Saccharomyces cerevisiae S288C: one gene and its partner. The gene in region 2 interacts genetically with the main gene of each other region. Each region holds a gene or a part of one and is shown on either strand. Other genes may lie near its edges. The genes, in order: ERG27 and SEC53.

The links.
Region 1: mutations in SEC53 (region 2) and ERG27 together harm fitness more than expected from each alone (negative genetic interaction), as found in Saccharomyces cerevisiae (2 studies listed by BioGRID).

Annotation. Positions count from the first base shown.
Region 1 is NC_001144.5:339,588-343,400, reverse strand, and holds ERG27 (3-keto-steroid reductase), read right to left. Parts: upstream 1,592-3,813; coding exon 548-1,591; downstream 1-547. Other genes in the region: APC9 (anaphase promoting complex subunit 9), read left to right, coding at 1-431; MIM2 (Mim2p), read right to left, coding at 1,813-2,076; lysophosphatidic acid acyltransferase ICT1, read left to right, coding at 2,473-3,657. UniProt on the Saccharomyces cerevisiae protein: 3-keto-steroid reductase; part of the third module of ergosterol biosynthesis pathway that includes the late steps of the pathway. ERG27 is a catalytic component of the C-4 demethylation complex that catalyze the reduction of the keto group on the C-3.
Region 2 is NC_001138.5:43,012-46,547, forward strand, and holds SEC53 (phosphomannomutase SEC53), read right to left. Parts: upstream 1,382-3,536; coding exon 617-1,381; downstream 1-616. Other genes in the region: FMP32 (Fmp32p), read left to right, coding at 1-427; ubiquitin-specific protease OTU1, read right to left, coding at 1,644-2,549; LAM5 (Lam5p), read right to left, coding at 2,709-3,536. UniProt on the Saccharomyces cerevisiae protein: Involved in the synthesis of the GDP-mannose and dolichol-phosphate-mannose required for a number of critical mannosyl transfer reactions such as folding and glycosylation of secretory proteins in the ER lumen.

The DNA of each region.
Region 1 (3,813 bases), on a different chromosome or scaffold from region 2:
ATAAGGTGGGCCATCTAGACGGCATAGACAGCTATCGACCCGATATTGACATCATGTGCGGCGAAGAGGCTAATAAATATGACAGTGCGAATCCGGAGGGCAATGGTTCAATGTTGTTAGAGAGTGTACCTGGATGCAACAAAGAAGACCTGGAGAGGTTATCAAGGCGAGAATTTGTAACAAATTCGAAACCTAATATGAGACGGTTGGATGACATAATAAATCATGAAACGAACGCCTTAAAAAGTTTCTGGAACGACTCAGGATTAGTCAATTCACTCCAAAGTCATCATTTGCATGAAGAGTACCTTCTTTTGCAAGAAGAATTAAAGAATGTGTACAAGATTAAATGCCATGACAGAGTGCCAATAGAAAGTCTACGCGATAAGTGCAGAAGACACTATAGCAACGAGGATAGTTCGTTTCTCTGACAGAGGCAATGCCTTTTTTGCTTCACGTGTATATATATCAGTTGATATGCGTTTTCTATACAGACATACATGTATATACACACATATATATATATACATATGTACGCAGAGATATATTAAATGGGGGTTCTAGTTTCAACAATTTGATCTTTCAGTTTCTCGTCCCATTCCAGTTTCTTCTTCTGTATATAAGCGAAGACATCAGACATTCCAGTAGGGTCTATTTCCTGCGTCTTGATATATGGCATACCATCCCTAGAGGTAGCAGAACCGTATTTTACGTCTTGTTTCTCAAAGTTTGGATTGGCCAATCTAGTTACGTATACTGGGGCATTGGCAGCTTTATAACCATCAATATTGTGCCATGGAGACCCCAACAGCCTGGCCAAATAGAACAAGCATAGCATGCCGAAATAGGTGAAAAAATTCAAATATTCGGAGAAGGAATGGCTTGTAAATATGCCCGGTTGAACTACATACTGATTTATGCCCAGCTTTTTCAAGTCTTTGTAGGTGGCCAAATGCAGTAAATCAACTAAACGCTTGGAGCCCTCATAAGAGGCATTTGTCTTTAGTAGTTCAATATCGTTCAACGAAAGATACTTAGGATCGGACATAATACTCGAAATCCAAACAATATAAGCCTTTCCCCTGGTCAATTGAGGCAGAATTTTACTGATAAAGTAGTACGGACCAAACACATTGGCCTGGAAAATAAGCCCCATGTCATCTTTAGACTTGACGCCCACCAGTTGTATCTTGTATGTCGGATTTGTCACTGCCTCCAATGGATTGGTGAAAACCTCCTTGACCGCTCCGATCCAATCTATACCGTCAAAGATACCTTGCGCAGCATTCACGAAAAGGTAGTTTATCGCCCTGTACTTTTTGTTGATGTCGTAATATGCGTTCAAGACACTCACCATGTTGGTGAAGTCCACCAACAGATAATCAAAGTCTATTTCCAAATCCTCTACACGGCCTGATTTGTTGTAAAAATCTTTAATCTGGTTAATCACCTCCTGCACTCGAGGAAGCGTTCTAGAAGTCACCACAATGGTCAATCTGACATTGGTGTCCTCAGTTTCAATCAGACGGAACACAATGTTCAGACCAAGATTACTATTAGTACCCGTTACGATAGCTACTTTCCTGTTCATCCTATCCTCCTACTTTTTCTCTTTGCTACTTTTTTTCGACACAGATCATGTGCTTGTTTCTCGTCCTATCTTTTAAATACCTGCTCAATTCAAGATGCCGTTCTTTCGTTAAACGACCATAAATAAAGGCCCACGTACTATCGGAGATAAAACAACGGGTGTGCGAAAAGTGCCATTTATCTGTTATAACTGCTATATGCGGATACATAAACAACAAACACTTATACAAAGTGTTCAATGAACCTACTCCATAGAGTCTTGGCCATTCTCCTACCTATATACTTGCCCAGCAGGGGCAGCAGGACCCAGTTGAGCAGCTTGTTCAACTGTTGCAGCGACTCTTCCCATTGACGCTGTGCATCTGCGAGCTCGTTGCTGAGTGACGTGTCCTCGTCGCTGAGGTAACCATCTTCTTCCAGGCCCTCCACGCTGTTGATTGTGTCGATGCCCTGCAGGATCACAGAGGTATCCTCGCTATCTGCCATGTTCTAGTTATTGTTGCTCGTGCAGTGATGTGCTGTGGTGCTGGGGAGTGGTTTGCTCTGCCGATCTTGCTTGTAACGGCCGGCCGTTAAATGGGCCTTCGGGGTCCAAACGAGGCGCGGTTTCGTGAATCTTGCTTGGCTGTTTTTGGCTTGTTAATCCCAATTTGCGATAGTTTACGTTTCCACGGGGCACTGCTCAACGGGTTTAGTTCCGTGGAGCAGATGTGTTGCAGATACTAGTTGATATTTATGTTGATGTTGATCATTCTTGTGGCACAAAAGTATAAATAAAGCAGCGTGCTCTTTTTTGTACGTGGAGTAGTAGAAGTATATTCGCAGGTCTTTCTCTCATTGTTCAGGACATATACATACGTAAGCGTAGTTTTCTTCAGTAGAATGTGGACAAACACTTTCAAATGGTGCAGCAAAACTGAGAAGGAGACCACTACTGCAGACGCCAAGGTGTGTGCTAGCGTGCAGGGCCTGAAGGCCCTGCAGCAGCAAATTATGGATAGCACCACTGTGCGTGGGTCCGTTAATAACACGATGACTCCAGGCGGGATTAACCAGTGGCATTTCCACAATAAGCGTGCGAACAAAGTGTGCACGCCTACAGTACTAATCCATGGATACGCTGCCTCGTCGATGGCGTTCTACAGGACGTTTGAGAACCTGTCAGACAACATTAAAGATCTATATGCCATCGACTTGCCAGCCAATGGTGCCTCAGAGGCGCCAGCATTGCAAGTGAACAAAACCAAGAAGATCAAGTCTCTCAGGTTTAAGCATATAGAAGATGACGTAGTAATCCCTGTGATAGAGAAGCGCCCCCCAGCAGAGGACATCAAGTCACACCTGGAGCAGTACGAAAGCTACTTCGTAGACAGGATAGAGCAATGGCGGAAGGATAACAAGCTTCGCAAAATAAACGTGGTGGGCCATTCATTCGGAGGATATATTTCATTCAAATACGCCCTCAAGTACCCTGATTCCATTGAGAAACTGTGTCTCATATCTCCTCTTGGTGTGGAAAACAGTATACATGCTATCACCCACAAATGGGAGCCCAACACCACCTATCCACTTACGTTTACCGACCCATCGTCCCGATATTATACAAGAAAGCTGAACGTACCGCGGTTTATCTTTGAAAACCAGCTAAACGTTTTGAAGTGGATGGGACCCATAGGCTCCAAATTGTGCTCGAACTACATCTCCACCGCATACGTAAAAGTTCCGGATCAGATATATAAGGACTATCTTTTGCACTCATTTGTCGGGAAGAACCAGACGGTGCAACCACAGACAATCAAGGTGTTCACCCATTTGTTTGAAAGGAATCTGATCGCTAGAGATCCGATAATAAACAACGTTCGTTTTTTGAACCCAGCAACGCCTGTCATGTTCATGTATGGCGAGCACGATTGGATGGATAAATATGCGGGCTACTTGACTACTGAATCAATGCTAAAAAACAAGGCAAAGGCTAGCTACGTTGAAGTCCCTGATGCTGGCCATAATCTTTTCCTGGACAACCCGCAGCACTTTGCCTCTTCTTTAGTCTCGTTCCTGTCAAAGTAATGCCTATATAGAGTAGAGAAGAAAAATACAATATGGAAAACCACGCATATATATATATATATATATAAATACATACATATACATAATACATCACTTTACTTAACCGTATACAAGATAGAGCAACATATACATCAAGAGTGTAAACCTCTCATATGT
Region 2 (3,536 bases):
TAATCATGTTTCACAGGATCTGGCAAAGAGAGAAAAATTGACCCAACTTAGCTATCAACAACGTGTTGATTTTGCAAAGTTAAGAGATCAGCTATTGAGTGCTGATAGAAGTGAATTTCACAATATTCAAAACGAGTACGAAAGTGTGAAAAACGATCTGGAGAAACTAAGAAACAAACTAAGGGAAGAAATTACCAAAACAAACGCCGGTTTCAAACTTGATCTGTCCTTAGAAAAAGGCAGAATTAGGGAAGAAAGTAGTCATCACGATCTGCAAATAAAAGAAATCGACACCAAAATTGAGCAAGAAGTGACCAATATGAAGATGCAGATTGATTCTGTCAAGACTCAAGTCATGCAATGGCTGATAGGTGTCTGTACAGGTACATTTGCACTTGTATTAGCATATATGAGGTTATTAACATAGTGGCGACAAGCGAGGAAAAAGGGCTAGACTTGGTACTTGAAAATTGCATTTACGTTTTGTATAACACAGTTCAGTAAGAGTACACATTCAATAACGTAGTAAGAGTATATTTATTTATATAAGAAGGATAAAAAAGAATCACCAAACGGATCACAAATGGCATAATCACGTAGCAACCTGGAAATAAAGCTATAAGTTGAATAGTTCAGTCAAAATTTTGACGGTGTCATCAGGGGATTGTACTGAATGTCCGATGGTTCTTTCATCGACAAAAATTTCGTAATCGTTACCACCGACCATAGTCTTGTCACCAAAGAAATGAATTTCCTTGAAACCATCTTTTTCAACGTGTTGCAAACAGTAGGTCTTATCCCAACCAGCGGGGAAAACGTCGAAAGAGATTTGGCCACCAATGGAGAAAGTCAAACCGTAGTCTGGGAATTCCTTTTTCAAAGCTTCAACGAACTTGGCTCTGATTTGGTGTTCCTTATCGTATCTTTCGAATTCGTTTCTTTCCTCAGTAGAAGCATTTCTACCAATTGGGGAAACGTTGATCATACCATTTCTAAATTCCAAGAAAGTACCTCTTCTCTTTGGCAAGTCAATTTCAGATAGATATCTCAAAATGAAGACGGCCAATTTATTGTATTTTTCCTCACCGAGCCAGTTGATGAAGGATTGAGAAGCTAATTCCTTACCTAATCTGTAGGCGGTCAAACCATTTTCAGAGAAAGAATAGTCAAATTCATCTAAAACGTTTGGGCCTAACTGTTCTAATTGCTTGCTTAAGTCAGAACCACCGACAAAACCAATGCAGCACTTGTTTCTCAACTTGGCCAAAGTTTTTCTAACTTCTTCAGAAACAGTTAATCTGGCTGGTGTCAAGGTACCATCAACATCGAATAAAACCAAAGTTTCTGGTTTTTCCTTGTAAGCGAATTCAGCGATACTCATTATTGGTGGTTATATTAGCAGATAGGTAAAAAAGGAGAAAGAAGTACTAAGGAAATTGTCGATTTAGTTTTCGTCAAAGATCTTATACTTTGCCAAGAAGAATAGACGATATAAACAGAAAAATAAGTGAAAAGAACACGTAAAAAACGGCACATTTTAATATATTTCAAATTTTTTTTTCATCAACGACAAAAGGAATGCATTTTATCCACTTTTCGTGTCTCATGACGAGTATACCGATAAACGCCAAATGCGTATTTTATTATCTATTTTGGCCAAAATCAACGTGTCCCGTGGATTCAGCGTGCCTAGCAACTTCTCTTTCACCCACAAAGGTCATTTGGCAAGTGTTGCATTTGATCTGGGCCTTATGAGTGTTGAAGGAATAGCCAGTTTGCTTCAAATTTGAGGCCAGTTGCAAAGCTGCTGTTAGAACATCATCTGATTCCGGCTGGTTCTTGTTGAAAACAGTTTTAAACTCGTTCATGGTCAAGGAATCATAGTGGATTCCGTTGAACAGTATCAAAATGTAGTTGTCGAACTTGTCCTCGTTGAACTTTTCGATTTTAACAGCGTCAATGTCGACTACATAAATAGCTACTGCGAGTGCATCGGATATGATACCAATCTCGATGGCTCCACCCCAAGATTCCATTTTCAAAATCCATTGCGCGTAATCTTTGTTAGGTTTGTCCAATATGGCGTCATTGAACTTGACGGGGTTGTTGAGGACCTCCTTAGAGACCATCTCCCTGAGGTCACGAACGCTATCTTGTTTGAAGATGCCATAGGCAATAGCATGGAACAGACACGAGTTGTCGTCGAGAACAGGATGTACTGATAGGACGTTTTCTCCACTGCCACCAATTGACATCTCAGTGCTCTTCAGCACCCTCTTTGGTTTGGGTTGTGGTGGTGGCAAACTGAAGCTTTCGTTACTATCAGAGGACTCTATTGTAATCTTTTCACCAGAGTTAATACCCAGCTCGTCCAGCTGGGTTTGTCCCAAAGAAGCGTCTTCCCCTTGCAAATTGATCCTTTGAGGCGGATATCCAAACCTCATCGTCTTAACATCTACATTGATATGCTCAATAAGATCATTTAGTGTTGCATCTTGCTTCAAAGTAACGACTTGGTTGATTCCTGCTCCAGTAACTTTCAGTTTCATCTTGAAAGTTTCTTCTCTTGGTTATCTTCTTCAATGTTATCTTGTTTTCAAAGGAAAAAGTTGTTATTTGCCACTGAAATCGGCTTATTTCGCCCTTTACTATTAGTTACTACCATTGCCCTATAGAAACGATATATATTGGTACGAAGAAAATACAGATCACAACTTCAGTTCTACCAATTGCAGCTTCACCAGTTGATGTAATGAGACAGCAATTGAACGTATGTAGAACAGATTAAACAATAGCAAAACGACCACAATCAAGTATAAGAACAACCATGTTTCCATGGTGACCTTGAGACCTTGCTGCTCTGCAATTGCGGGAGCCGTAACAACCGCTTCTCTTGGTTGTTCAAGGTCAACCTCTTTCAACTTATTTTTTACTTCTTTATCATCTTGCTCCTCTTCCTCCTTGCTGATAGTAATTTGGCACTCTTCGACATTGTTCTTGATGAACTTGGAAAGAATACGCTCCATTAATTGCGCAGCCTCCAATTGACCATTCTTGCATCCATTTTCAACCATACCTTTGATCCAACTGGAACCAGTCCATTCCACCCAAAAGGATACCCGTAACAGACACGTTATTTCGTCATTCCAACGGATTAGATACCTTGTCTTAGTTGAGAAACTACCACCACTGGGCACGTTCGGAGTGCGTATGCTACTGATAACCTCATAGTAAGTATCAGGATCTTTTCTCTTTATTACCTCAGCAACATAACATGTCGTGGACTTGGGCCCCGCAGGAAAGTGCAATGCTTTCTCGTATGAATACTCACGCTTCAAAGTCATGGAAGATCCGTCAATGCTCGTGAAATTTGGAATAGTGGTAATTTGTGAACCTTCTTGACCCCGTAAAAAATCTAGAAGAAATTCGTTTTGCTCTGAGTTGAACATGATCTCAAAAAGTATACCAGGTGCACAATCGAATGGTAACTCCTTGAGAACAAACTCGTTATTGGCCATAGGTTCAGCCGGAAAGCT